2 linked regions of the Alligator mississippiensis genome follow. The main gene of each other region encodes a partner of the protein of the gene in region 2 in a complex. Links are inferred from orthologs where the notes say so. Each region holds a gene or a part of one and is shown on either strand. Other genes may lie near its edges.

Region 1 (7,698 bases), on a different chromosome or scaffold from region 2:
TAAGTGAGCCGACGTTGAGCTAGAATCTATCATTTTACTGTAAAAGAGCATGGAAAACATAATGTTTGGTTGGAACCAAGACTAGTTCTACAATTTAAAACCAATACTCGGTGCTTCTCCCTCCCCCCACCCCTACATTATGCTTTGAAATTAAGCACTGAACCTGCGCTAGCAATTAAATTAAAGCAGGCTGTGATCTTTTGTTTCCTTTGACATCCCAACATGTTGGTATCAAATGAGGTCAGCAATCATGACCCTCTTCAGCAGGAGACTTCAACACCACTGAACCCCAAGCTTTCATTTCATATACAGCCTAGTTTATATGGTATAAGCAACAGCACTCCATGAAGTTACATGGCAGCTTCTACTCAGCAAATTTCTTGACAGCTTAAGTGTCCTGGGCTGGTTTCAGACCTTGGACTTCTGCCTTCCCGTTACTGCTTGTGCTTCCATAAACAGCCTTCCTCATTTTAGTGTACCATTACCTGCAGGTTAAAGGTTTGAGAGTCCTGTTTCTCACAAACCATAGATCAACCTCCTTTATGCGCGCAGTAGAGTTGGTTAAAATGTATGTTGTGCTCTGAGAAAACAAACACTGAACTTACCAATGTGAAACAAAAATACAAGGCACTTGGCAACAAATTCATGTTATACATTCAAGAATTAGGTAACACTGGATGCAGGTGTGAGAACAGGCCAACAGGAAAGTTTTTCCCAAAATAGGAAAGTTTCAGTTATGTTTGAGGGCTATAGGAAGCATTTCCTAATGGAGCAGGAAGGCATTTTCATAAGGACTCACCCTCAAATGCATGCAATTTTTTTTTTCATTTGACGAGACCAATAGGCCACTCAAAAGAGTGGGTAGGCAAGAAGTAAAAGGAAACAAAATAGACTGTCATGGGCAGTAGAAGCTGGAGTCATATTAGAAAGGAAACAGACTTCCAGAGAAGTTAAACTTGCTGCAAGACAATTTAGTTTAGTTTTGTCTTGAGGGAATAGTGTTCCCTGAAATTAAGAGACTCTTATTGCTGTAACTGATATGAGTTAACTTAAGGTGAGAGTCCTTTGTGACCTCGAAGGTCTAGGGAGGGGTCAAGTACTAGGAGTGGAAGCTGAACAATCCAATGTTTTTTTGTTTTTAAATAAATCCATGACATTGGGTTCTCTCTCTGTTATTTTTCCACATATATCCATGTTCTTTCCATTTTCCAGTGCAAGGTTCTCTGATCCAACAGTACTGACTGCAGCACGTCATCCATTTTCTCTTCCTGCACACCCATCATCTTGTAGCACCTTCCTGTAATGCTGAGGCACTTCAAAATTATCTTTCCTGAGCATACTAAATTAACACTAAATTACCAGATGTTTATGAGCATGGAGTACTTTAGATACAACCACATATATTCAATGGATGTCACTGAGGCTTTATATTGGGCTACTGAATGTGAAGCTGAAGAGGCATGTTGTAACTAGACAATGGTTCTGTGGCATTTTGGTTTATCTGTACAAATACCCAGAACAATTTTGAAAACATGTATTCTCTGCTACTCAGTCTCCAGGCACTAAAACATTTACATCAATACAACACACTCTCCTTTACCTTCTGCTCTTCATTTTCATTTTCCAGTTTAATTGTCTCTGCATGTACTCCATTGTGAATATGATGCAAACTGTACACCGACCATTAAGTCTCAGAGATCAAGCAGTATTCTCTCTATGCAAATAAAGAGCGTGTGTGTGCATGTTCAGAAAATGAGACCCGAACTTGGCTGGAAGCTCGAAGTGAAGCCAGCAGAATGTATACAGCACACTGACTCAGAGGGGAATGAACGGCTATAAACAATTGTACCCTCTGCCTTAAGAATTTAAAAAGGGAGATTATATTCTCAGTGGGGAATCATTTGACTAAAGCTCATGAACATCAGCTTGATAACATGCCCTTACTCTGTGTCATTTGCTTTCACACCACAGAAGAGCTGCATCAGTAAGGTGCTGCTGCATCAGAGAATCCATTAAGCTACATGCTGCTGTTTAGAAAATAAAAGCTTCATGTCTTTATGGAAAAATCCAGCCTTTAAAGTTCACATGTAACAACAACCACAAACTAAAAGGGAAGGCTTTGTACAGATGTTTATGTACTCAAAATGATACAAGCAAGAAAAGCATTCAGAGAAATCCCAAGAAAGTGGAAGAAAAAAAAAAAAAAGTTAGATCAGGGAAGAGTACAAACCAAAATAGAAAGGCACTCATGAAGAAGCCAGCAATAGGATGGCTGGAAGCCTATTACAAAAGTAAAGGGGAAGGGGAGAAACAAAAATTCGACACTGGGCTTGTTTTCACATAGCAGATCTAGTACAGTTCCACAGATTTTTTCCCAAGTCCTTTGATCCTAGGGAGGAGAGAGGCACAGAACAAAGATGGCAGACACTTAAGCACTACAACTGGAAGAACAGTCTTGGGTTCAGAAAACAAGACAACAGGTGGTTATATCAAGGGTCATGGGAGGGGGAGGAAGGAGAAGGGTCACTGGACTGCCTCTAGTTACTACAGTACTACTACTGTAGGGTGCTGAACTCACTCTGAAGGACGCTTATGGTAGCCTGGGCTCGAATCCACGTTATGGAGGGATTTTGCCTCAAGTCATTCCTCCTGGGATCGTTGCTGGCCCTGCACTCGTAAGTCCCAGAGTCTTCCAAGGTAAGGCGGGTTATTCTCAGCACACTCACCCCATTCGCCCCGTAGGCAGTGTTAATGGTGACACGGCGCTTCCGAGCGCCATCCCACAGCTGTTTGAAAGATTCAGCCCGGTTGACTTCAGCATACCACCACTGGATCTCTGGAGTGGGGTTCCCAACCACGTCACAGTACAGCTCAAAGGCGTCCCCCGTGAGTTTAGTTTCTGACATGGGCGACTTGACAAACCCAGCTAGAGGGAGGGGCAGCAGAAATGCAGTGACAGACCAGCAGAAGATAACAGATCTTATAAAGAACAAAGCAAATGAGTTGCAGAAAACAGACAAAGGATTAGATAAGACATTAGTATCTACAGTAACAGCCGTTAACATGATTTTTATAGAAAGAACAGAACACACAGCGCTTGCAACGGAAGACTTGTTAGTTTTAATTGTGGTAGCACAGCATGCCCTTTCAAGGAAGGGTTCTTGGGAGACGGGCCATCAAGATAAGCATTTTATGATGGGATCTCTGGAGTGGCAAAGTGGATTATGGGAGGCTGGAAAAGGCAAGCCTAATGCTGTAAACACACACCAACCCTTCAGAACTGGAAAGCAATGACATGACAGCTAAGAGCTATGAGAAGAGAGACTGCAAGTTATATTTTTAACCTGCTTGAACTATTTAAATTTATCCAGTGTTAAAGCATCTAAAAAACTTCTGTCCATTTTCAGCCTTTTTGCATTGAACAGTTTTCTGATTTAAAATCAAGCACAGAAGAAACATCAAAACTTCTGCCCTATGCAGCACTCTACCATAAACTCTACTTTGATCTTTTCTTCCATCTATTCTGAACTTAGGAGGCAGGGAATTCCCTAAGATATAAATTACCTTCTTTCCTGCAGTAGTTCGTTCACTGCAGCTGAAGGAGTAGAGTCTCACAAACAGTCTAACGTATGTGAGAATAAAATCCGTCATACAGGACAAACCTGTTTCACTAATTGAGAAAACAACAGCATCCAGTAATTAACTATACTAAAAAGACAGGTAATATATCTTTAAAAAAAAAAGAAAAGAAAAGGTTAAAAAGCTTACATGATTACAATTGAGTACGAGGTTCATGGAATCTTTTTGTGATCAACTTCTCTATTTACCAGCATTCCTACATCAGTGCACTTGATTTTGTTCTAAATTGTCCTTCAAATCATATTTTGCAAGTGACCCACCAAAAATAATGCTGCTTTAAAAGCCAGTCTTTTGTGTACTGAAAGATTTAGAATGCAGCTGGCCAACTAGATTATGCAGCAAAACCCGTCATATTGCCATGCTAAATTCTCTTCAGGCACCAGGGATCAACAGCAGCACAGCATGTAGGACTTAGTGTCACCGTCTGGCCTCCACTACTGATAAAAGTAAATCAAATACACTATCCCCCTCTTCCCCCAACAAAAAGAGCTGTTTTCAGAAGTGATGAAGAAGAGAAAACAACGGATTTTGGTTTTAAGTGGAAGGGAAAGCAAAGAGCAAGACACTCATTCTGTAAAGCTTTCAATGCATACTGACAAGACAGACAAGGTTCTTTGGGTAAATCTGGTATCTTGTATTAGACCAACTCAATTAGTTGGAGAAAAAAATCTTCTTCTTTGCAAGCTTTTGGGCACAAACACCCTTTGTCAGGCTGAGGAAGTATCTGCAGTTTGTGTGTGCTCTTCCTGGATGGAATGAATAGCCTGAGGAAGGGTGTTTGTGCCCAAAAGCTTGCAAAGAAGATTTCTTTCCAACTATTGACCCACACCCCCTTATTTTAACAGCTCCAAGGCTGTCTTTTTTCTGCTACTCAACAGGTTACTGATACCGGTGTAAAATAAAATTCAAGAGTGAACTGCACATACTAGAAAGCCAATGCTATACCATAAATGTCACTTAAGATTAGCAAAGCATTTTCTGTTCTTGCTAGAAAGCACAAGGCAAAGTCAGTTAGGGTCAAGTCTCCTGTTGCTGTCCCAATGCTGATCCATCCATAGCAATCACTGGAAGCTGAAGTATGCTATGAGCAATGGCTACAGACTATGACTACAGGTTCCCTTGCCAACCATGATTTTGAGTATTCACATGTAATATTTTATCTACCATTCTGGCCACCACAGTATACAGTTTGAGTAACCACGGTTTTCCATGGCCATGCAATAGCCCACCACCTGCCATTTTTCCCATAAGTCTTTTGTCTTGCCAACCACAGTTTTGCCAAAAACAGGAACTTTCAGGAACCTAACCCCAGCGGTTGGCAAGGGAAACGTGTATTAGGCAAACAACTGCTCCTTACAAAATCAAAATTAATATTAAAACTAGTTTTACTTCTGATGCAAAGATTAGCCTCATCAACCATTTCATTCTTTCCCTGTATCCAATTAATATTAAAAGGGAAAAGGTTAACTCAAGAGAGACAGAAGGTCAAAAGTAACCCCCTGCTGATGGAAGGACACAAGAGAAACTAGTTTGTCTTCTATTCCATAAAATACCGCCAATTAGTAGTAGCTGAAGAGCCTATTTAGACTGCTGCTCCTGCACAGTGCTTCCCAGCAATGTGACTAATATATGGATCACACTGGTTTCATACTGCTTCCGTTGCCAACAACAGAAGTAAAGTTATGAACATGATTTGTCATACTGTCCCATGGACAAATTTTAAGAATGCTGTGCTGGGTAGGGAAGAACCTAGAGAGAGATTCCCCTCCTGTACAAATTCATGTATAAGACCCAAACCCATTTGAACCTAGATTTTTCAATGTGAAAGCCTAAGCAGTAAGTCATGAGCAAATCTAGCTTCTTTTTACATCTATCTTAGGGTCTACTTTTATAAGGGAGGTGAAATCCAAACTATTCCACAGCTCTATAATACAGACATGCTATTGTATTTGCAGTCAAATAAATGGAGGATGACACCTGTCTAGAGAAACAGTGCAGAAGATGGTCTCATTCTAAAAGGTCAAAATCCTGTTATGAGCCATATTGAAATGCTGACAGTCAAGAAGGCAACCTCAAAAACACAGTGCAAAGCAATGCCAGCCAGGATCTTGAACAGCTACTGCAGCAGCCTACAATAATGCTCTATATTTACGGTCACTCTCTCAAATCGAGCTTGCTTAGCTGACAAATAACCAACCACGAGACTAGAAACATTATGCTCAGTCTATAGGTGAGGAAGAATCTGGGATGCAAAAAGACTGGCAGCAACTCAAGAAACTTAGAATCAGAGACAATAAAGTCCTCTTCGTACCATACTGGATAACTGGGGTTTAGAAAGCTACTTGCACCTAAGGGTAAAACCCTGGAACAACTGCTAAGAAGGTGGAGATTTGTTTAAACATTCTGGCAAAGCTAACTAATTCATTTTCATAGCAAATGACTAACTGTGTGGCAGATGCTTGCCATACAAAACACTGATTTATGAGATTTGTATTTTCATTAGTTATAGCAACTGCAAAATACATCAAACAGCATTAGTCAGTTGGGAACAATACTTTCAGGTACTCTGCAGCTGCCAGAGGGCCCTTTTTGCTAAAGACTTCCAGAGAGAAGCTAAAAGCAGAGCTGAAATCAGCCAGAACCAAATAGAGTATACGAAAAAGGAACAAACATTAAAACTGGATGCTTTCCATAATGCAACAAATCTCTGGAAACAGATCTGAAGAATCCCTGCTGTTTGGTAGTTCTGCCAGGGTTCACCATATTGCACAAAATCAAGTCAATAGCAACAGACACTGTACAGATATCACTGCTTATAAAAGAGCCCAAGAGTTCTTATTTGATTTGCCCTTATTTGCCAAATCCAGACAAGCGCAGCTGTGCAGTATGTGGCACCGCAGACACATCTGCGGTGCCACATACTGCACTTTTTGTTCTTTGCACTGGAAGGGAGCAGCATCAAGGGTTTTTTTTGACCCCTAGATATCCATGAATAAAAATTAAAACCTATGTTAAAAAAAAAGCAGGGCAGTGCATGTGGCAGCAGCGTGCGCTGCCCAAATCCAGAGCCTGACTAGTTGGAGCCACACTCCACTGCCAACCAGGCTCCACACAGCAGGATTGCCATTGCTGCAGCCCTGGGAGGACCCCAGGTAAGGCTGCTGGGGCCAGCACAGGACCTCAGGTAAGGCTGCTGGGGAGGCCCCTAGAGCCCTAGGTAAGGCTGCTGGGGACATTTATTGTGTAACCTGCCACGCACCTGAGCGCACATAGCACAACTGTTCCCCAGGCACAAGATGCACTGCCGCTAGTTGTCCCCAAGGAACCAAATATCCACAAACGTCTGAAGGTGCTCATTGTGTGCATCTCTAAGTTTGGTACTGCAGCAATCTGGAGAAGAATAAGTATTCGGGAAGTAGAGATGCTAAAGAACAACGATGTGCTTTAAAAATTGCAAAAGAACAATTGCGTTTTAGGCCCTGTCTAAACTTAGCAGATTCTGCTGGCAAGAGCTCTGCCAAGGAAACCTGCTGGCGCATGTACACATTCATAAGCTTCTAGCAGATTTGCATGGCTCCACCACAATAACCATCCCAGCAGAGTGGAAAGTGCAGCCTGGAAAGGCATGAGTTCTGAAGCGAATGCTAAAGCAGAAGATTGGGACTGTCCACAGGTATCTTCCAGAGTCTGTTTGACAGCACCAAAAGCCTTCTTTGGAATGAAAGAGCAAGTGCAACTGCTAGCAGAAAGGGAGGTCCTGCTGCCACACGGGAGCTTAACACTCAAGGTTTGCCACTACAAATACACTCCACTAAAAGAGCACTTTAGTGTTGACTAGACACAGATATGTGAACAGGCAGGAGCGTGAAATGTATGTAGGCCAAACTGCAGAAGTACTGATCTTGACAACATCTCCTTAAGTCTTAAAAATTGCCTTATTTCAACTTTATAGCTATTTTCAACTTTTAAAAGTTGAATGTACTTTTGTTGAAGGCAGAGTAGATTTGCATCTCACAGACTAACCAGGCAGGCCACACCCAAATGAGTGGATGTGCGGTA
Region 2 (7,084 bases):
TACATTGAGCTGTGTAAAGAATACCCAAGTACCATTTATATGTACTGTTAATAGCAACAGAAATAATAGTTAGAAACAATTTTACATAATCTTGTCCATCCACCTATGGAAAAATGCCTACTCCATTTTGAACCGATTCTGACAGCATCCAGCAGTTCCCACAAAAAAGACAAACACACACCAAAATCTCCATTCCAAGCTTAGAAGTTTTCTAAAAAAGTTATTCATCTGTATATAATTTCCCCCATAACTTAAGAGAGTCTTAAAGAATTTTAGAAGCTTAAGACATCTTTTAGTTACACAGAAAATACAAAGACAGTGACATTAGACCAATCTGCTTTAAAAGTTAAATCATCCAAAGTTAGAAAATGTCAGCTCTAGATGCCTTACACAAGTCCCTGCAAAACAAGACACGACCATAGCTCAGGATTCCCACCCATTAGAAGCGAGTATTCAGTTTGTAATCCCAGGCATCCACAGAAGAGAATGACTGATATTTCATGCTCAGTAGGATTTTCATTACTGTGAACATTGTAGTTCAGACTATCAAGGTGGCAGTACTGGTGGGGTGGGGGCAATTCCAAGTGCTTTCATCCATGCCAACAGTAGCTTGGACACAGACTACTCAAGCTAAAAGCCTCAAAGTCACCACCACAGTAGAAAGAAAGGAGCAGGAGGCGAGCAAGAACCACCCCCCCCCCCATGCCAGTCCAGATCTGCAATTTGACATTTTAAAAAGGTTTAATTATTTTTTACTGAACTATTCAGTGACCACTTTTCCATTTGCACACTAAACAAGTTTCCATTCATTATGCCCCAAGGATTTAAGTTCTAGTACACTGGAAGCTATTTCTAACAGCAAAGTCAATGCTTTAAGATACTCAAATTTACTTTAGTTAAAAGGCTGCATTTGTGGTCCCTGGAATGAGTTCCTCAAGAGCTTAAAAGCTACAATGCCAGTTCAAAATGTAATGGCCTTATTATATAGCTAGTGTAAATTAAAGATGGTAGTAAGCTAAACAAGCAAAAAAAAAAAAAAAAAAAATTCAAGTCAACCTGTCAAGGTATTTTTCAAGTCAGAAGCCATTTTAAAAAGAGCCTCCTTAAACCCACTTCATACCTGTAACACTTTAAACATATACAGCAATGCCCCCTTCCTCCCCAAAGATTTGCAATGCCATGCTCCTTCATACAACACAATATTAATGGAAGATACTACTCTTTACACCAAGGGTATACTTTGCTTACACTTCCAAGTCTTAAGCTATGTTTTATAGCTCTAAGGGGCATCACTTCAACTTCCTAACTGAATCCTGCAAATTCATTACTTTAAGCCAAATACATTTATTTCTCCCTCCCACACTGAAATCATAGGAGCTTTGGACTACAGATCATGCATTTTTATGAAAAGGAAACAATTAAGCTTTTAAAAATTTCCAGCAGCACTTAAGAAAGCTCAAAATCAAGTTGCATATTGAAGGCAGGACACAAAAGGTCAGTGCCAGGGAACTCTAGCATCACCTCAAATAATCATCCTTCGGCCCCAGAAGAGATCCTTCAAAGAAGACTTATGGTACGCCTTATTCCTCTTCACAAGTTTACAAAAAATTAAACTGAAGCAATGAAACCAGGTGAAGGAGTAACTGGAACATTATCCTCAAGACTCATTCCCTGCTATGAATGTCATTTACCTCAACAGCTAGTCAGATGAATGCCATGGGAGACTAGCGCCACTTAACCATAAATCTTCTAGCTTCGGAAAAATTAAAGCAGATGCTTCTTGTTAGCTCAACAGCAGCCACTTACGTTGCTAGCGAATACCGCGCTAAATGAAATGCCTCCCAAGATCGTGAGCACAAGCACTGCAGACTGGATTTCTGAGGAGAAGCCTTCTTCCCAAAAAGCTAACAGAAGCTCCTCCGGTTTCTGGGCTCTGACACTGGCGGGGAAAAGAAAACTGCTCTTTGAACAGCAAAGGCAGGCAACAGCAGAGGTATTCCCGCAGTCACCATCTTCTGGATGCTTCCCCCACCCTTGCAGGCGCAATCGCTCCCTAGCGCACCAGCAGCCAGCGCTCCCTCGGGCAACTGTTAGCGCTCGGAGGCCCCCCGCACTCAGGCCTCTCCAGCAACTCACGTGGTGCAGCATCCAAAGGTTACACACCCCGTCTGGCGGAGAGTGACAGTGTCAGCACGGCCAGGGCGGGAGACGCTTCCTGCTCTGCAGCGGGGCCAGCCCGCCGCCACCGGCTTCCAGGAGCTGCTGCCGACGCCTGCGGCGGCCCTCGCCCCATCCCGGGGGCACCGCAGGCCCGGGGGAGCGCACCCCGCCCCGGGATAAAGCGGCGCGAGGCGGAGCGCGGGGAGGGAGGGACGCACGCACGCACGCGGGCGAGGAGACACCCTCCGCCACCAGCTGCGGCTTCGGCTCCCGACGCAGCCCGGCGGGGGGCGACCGGCTCCCTTCCTCGCCGCCTGCAGGGGAGGATGCCGCGCAGCAGCCGCCGCCTAATCCCGGCGATTTAACCCGGCAGGGGCCCGGAGCCACCTGCATCTCCGGGCTGCCCGAGGGGCGCCCGGCGCCTCCTACCCGGGGGGGGGGGAGAGGAAATGAAGCCGCCTGCGGCCCCCGCAGCGGCTCCCCTCAAGGTCACGGCCGCCAGGTGCGCACTGCACGGGGCCTCCCCGGGCACCTGCCGGCGCGGCCCCGCGCCAGGATAGGGGGAGGGGAGAGGAGCGGGGGGCCGCAGCACCTTACCTCGGTGCAGCCCCGCTGCAAGGAGCCGCCGGCCCGACCGCCAGTCCCGGCGCTGCCCGCCCCGCCCCGCCCCGCGCCGCGCCGCCCGCCGGAGGGAAGCGGCGCCCTGCGCGCAGGGGAGGGGACACACGCAGGGGCGGGCTCCCCTCGCCTCGCCCCGCCCCGCCCCGCCCCGCCCCACGCCCGGCGGCTCCTCACGACGCCCACAGCACCCCCGCCCGCACTCACCTGCCGCCGGGCCGCAACCGCCAGCGGGCCCCAGCCGCGCTCACGTGACAGACCCGACTCGCAGGCAGGAAGGCGGCGGGGAGCGCTGCGCACCGCCTTCAATGGGGGGGCGGGGGCGGGGCCTGTGATTGGCACCGGCGCCGAGCGGGCGGGGCCCCGCCCCCTGCCGCGCTCTCCCATTGGCTGCGCCCTCTGACGTGCTTGTTTCCATGACGCGGGGGGCGGGCCTAGGCGTTTGATGGGGCCCGGCGGGTTCGCGCGCGCTGACTTTGCCAGGAGCGGGGGGCGCTGCCCCGCCCCTCCCCCGCGGGGCCCGGCTCTGAGGGGCCCGGGCCCCGGCCCGGCCCGGCCGCGCGCGGCGGGGGGGGGCGGGGACTCGCTGGGCGCCGGCGTGGTGCTGCAGTGCGGGGGGGGGCTGCGGCCGCGCGGGCTTCGTGTCGCCGCCTGCCCGGGAGCCCGCGCGCGTGTCGGGAGCGCCGCCCTCCCGGGCCCGGCCTCGCCTGTGAGCGGGCGGGGGACCCCAGCGGGGCGGGAGGCTGGGGTGAAGGCCCGGCCCCACGAGAAACTGCAGGTGTTCAGCCCCTGCCTGCGGGAGGGGGAATCGCCAACCTCAGAGGTTGTGAAGACCCGGCTAGACAAAGCCCTGGCGGGGGTGATAGGGCTGGGGATGGCCCTGTTGTCAGCAGCGGTTGGACTAGAGCAGCGGGTGTCAACCTTTTTTGTACTAGGACCCTTTTGTAAATTTAATGTCCGGTCCCTCGCTCCCAATCTGTTGCCCCTGCTGTGAGGGTCACGGGGGCCCAAGCAGCCCCTGGCAGGCTGGAGCTCTGCCAGCCAGCAAGGGGGAACCCAGTTTCCCGTGTTTTTCTCCTTCAAAGGATCCATTTTTTAAGTTTGTTCACAACCCTTGCATATATTCTCACGACCCACTTTTGGGTTAGGTTGAGAAACGATGGACTAGACCTACTGACGTCATTGCTAGCCCTCATTTTCTGTGAAGGCAAAGGCAGGCCCCCACCCTTTAGGCCTGAACCGTTTGTCAGTGGCGGTTGTGGCACCCAAGGGTTGAGAACACAGTGCAGAAGTGCTGGTTCCCACTCCCATTTCTGACACGGATCAGCCCTGTTTTGGTGAGAAACTGCCAGCTGTAAGGCACAACTGTGCTGGATGCTCTTGGTTTGGTCCTTGGAAGTCTTGTTTTTGACACAAGCGTGTCTACTCAGGAAGGCACTTCATTGGAACGGATGGCCAGCTGTGCTCCAGGCCCTCAGCCCATCATAAATACCCCGCCTTGCCATTGTTGGTGCTCAAGTCCCAGAACTGTTAAAGCCAGCACTGTAAAGACATAGGGAAGCTGGTATAACACTCAGAGCATGAGCCTGAGGCAAGTAACTGAGCCTAGAGGGTTAAGGCAACACAGTGAAGTCAGTATAAACCAGTCTAGGAGCCCCAGCAGATAAATAAATCATTCTGACTACCTTATCATCACTGCTTGCTTGTGCCTCATTGTAGCTTCCTCTTTTCTCACCTGAATCTCTTTCATCTTTCTCCTCATTCAAGTGAAACAATCAAAAAATAAATGCTAACAGTAATTGGCTCCTGCCCATTTTGAATGCCAGCAAAAAATATTACCTTACCCCACATACCTGGAGGTCATTTGAGAAATCAGAACAATGAAACACAAATCTTGCAGAGTAGTTGATCAAGAATCTTTCTTGACTTTCTTCCCAGAAGAAAATAAAATCTCTAACCACATACACCAGAAGAAATTCTCTCACTGCAACTCAGTATCCTCAGCTGCACTGATGCATTGTGGCTTAGCTAGACTTCCCCAGACACTTGAAAATTTCATTTCTGAATACAGCTTTATGAGACTGACAGATGTGTTCTGCACACTTCTGTCATGGCTCTTAGGAAGACAAAATTAGCTTTGGTAGAGCCAAGAAAGGGTGAGCTTCTGGTTAAGGCACAAGGGTCTCATTCATTTCTGGATCTGCCACAGATTTCTTGTGTGACCTTGAGAAGGTCAGCCAGTCCTGCTGGGCTTCTGTTTTCTATTCATAAAATGGGAATAATTATATTTCCACATCTTAAAGGGATGATGAGACTTAATTCTTGTGAGGTGCTTGGATACTGTAGTGAGGGAGGCCGTAAGATTGGATACATTTTTCACAAACAGACAAAATATTAGGCTGTCACTGTTACAGTTATTGCAGTGTTAACATTCATTCTACAGTTGCATCCCAGAACAATGTAAAAGTATGCAACAAAAAAAGGTGGAAATAAAAAGTTAATTTCCACAGCTACTTCTCTGAGAGGTTTTCAAAATGCTTCAGAAATTAATTTTCAGAACTAGAGTGTTCTCTACTATTTTCCCGACAGACTTGATTTCACAAAAGATTTTGTAAGACATTCCTCTTTCCAAAGGTTAGCATTTCTGATAGGGTAACAAAAACATATCGTCTCATTTAGGTCACAAACCTTAAATTCTCCATGCACAAAGGCATACTTCTACAAACATTAACAGTTAGGAAAAATGACTATCAAGAGAATACACATTGGTCTGCAGACAGTTTTGACAAATTGATTGGTTGTAGTAAATTAACTTTGTGTACAACACTATTAGGGTCTAGGTGTCACACCTTTTTACAAATGGAGAAAGTGTTGTGCAGAGAAGTCAGATGAATTTCCAAGGTTCCCACAGCTGTATCAGCATTTCCACATGCATTTAAACACCTGGAATGCTTGTACAACATTTGGGCCAAAAATTATTAAAGTGATCAGTGATTCTAGGGACCTCAGTTTATGGGTACCCAGCTTAGTATTTCATAAGAACTGGAGGACTTGCTGGATAATTACTGGAGGGCTTACTGGATAATTGATTTTCCAGTAATTTCTCCAAATTGGGAACACAGAGAGCAGAGAACCCTGCTCTAGAATGGTCCAAGAAGGAACTTTCTAAGACCCTGGGTACAAAGCAAACCAGTGCAGACATATTTTTTTTAAGTTCTTGCTGCTACTGAGAAAATTGAAACTGGGCCACAACACAAATAAGTGTGAACAAGACTTTGTTGAACTTGGTGCAACTGTAAGTATTAGGACAGTTTGTGAAACGTCAGGAGCATTTTTGCTTGTGGACATCGAGCTAAAATTTGCCTAAAGAGGCTACGAATTTTCAGACGTTCCCCAACCAACTACATTAAATTCAAAGTCTTGTAAATGTTTTGCCTACACTGATTCACATAGTGCACAGAGGAAGCAGTGACATTCATTTTATGCCAGTTCAGTTGATTTTCTCAACTCAGTCCAACATATTCTTGCCTGCTATTCAAACATCATTCTAGACAAGAGTCCTTTTCTTTCTGTAAAGCTGGCTGAAGTTATCTTTTAGAGTAATTTTCCAAGAAGCCTCTAGCTACTTATAATTCCCTTGTTTCACCTTTGGAAATTGGGTATGCCTTTCACTACTAGCATCCTCTGTAAAAATATTCAGCTTTTTAATTTGACATGGGATAATACCTTTCCACAAAACGTTTACAATCAATTATCCATTTTTTTAAATTTGAAATACAAAATTAACTGAAGAATTGATTTCTAGAATGTTTCCCCGAGCTCTAGTTTTGTTCTGTTTTGGTCCTTTAATTTCCTGTACTTTACATCTTCTTTGCTTTTCTTCTCTGTTTTTCTCCTCTGCTGGCTTCTCTGATTCGATGTTGTTTTTGGTAAAAAATGTGCATTGTTATCCTTTTTAGCCCACACAATTAACACAAACTTGTGGCTCTGTAGGTTCCTTCCACTGGGAAAAGAAGCATGACTGAGTAATCTTTGGTTTAATAATGTTTGTTTGCAAAGAATGTACAAACTAGGCACATCTACACGTGCAATTGATGCAACTGAATATACTCCTGTTCAGCTTGAGCTGGAGTTGGAGTAAACTAATCCCAATGTCACCGTCTACATGTGTTTAAGCATAGTAATCTACTGCACTGCCAGACATCACTTGTATCTCATGGGACTGTCTGGCAGTTCAGTAAATTAATCTACTGTGCCGTATTTGCCATGCACATGTAGATGGTGATGCTTTACTGTGCAGCAAATT

What was found.
Region 1: the proteins of ATP2B1 (region 2) and NPTN are in contact, whole or in part, in a cryo-EM structure (PDB 6A69), measured with the Homo sapiens proteins. The link is inferred for Alligator mississippiensis from reciprocal best matches to the Homo sapiens genes ATP2B1 and NPTN. Residues at the interface, in NP_001353449.1 of Homo sapiens: Phe954, Asp955, Ile956, Asp957, Glu996, Arg997, Asn998, Val999, Glu1039, Gln1040, Leu1042, Trp1043, Ile1045, Phe1046, Met1049, Gly1050, Leu1052, Leu1053, Gln1056; in NP_036560.1 of Homo sapiens: Arg245, Ser246, Asn248, Arg332, Arg334, Pro339, Pro342, Phe343, Gly345, Ile346, Glu349, Ile350, Ile352, Leu353, Ile356, Ile357, Tyr360.

What each region holds. Positions count from the first base shown.
Region 1 is NC_081834.1:43,561,685-43,569,382, reverse strand, and holds the start of NPTN (neuroplastin), read right to left. Parts: upstream 3,081-7,698; 5' UTR 3,066-3,080; coding exon 2,579-3,065; intron 1-2,578. UniProt on the Homo sapiens protein: Probable homophilic and heterophilic cell adhesion molecule involved in long term potentiation at hippocampal excitatory synapses through activation of p38MAPK. May also regulate neurite outgrowth by activating the FGFR1 signaling pathway.
Region 2 is NC_081827.1:85,551,866-85,558,949, forward strand, and holds the start of ATP2B1 (plasma membrane calcium-transporting ATPase 1), read right to left. Parts: upstream 3,085-7,084; 5' UTR 2,986-3,084; intron 2,832-2,985; exon of another isoform or gene 2,758-2,831; intron 2,303-2,757; exon of another isoform or gene 2,137-2,302; intron 2,019-2,136; exon of another isoform or gene 1,807-2,018; intron 1,762-1,806; exon of another isoform or gene 1,692-1,761; intron 1-1,691. UniProt on the Homo sapiens protein: Catalyzes the hydrolysis of ATP coupled with the transport of calcium from the cytoplasm to the extracellular space thereby maintaining intracellular calcium homeostasis.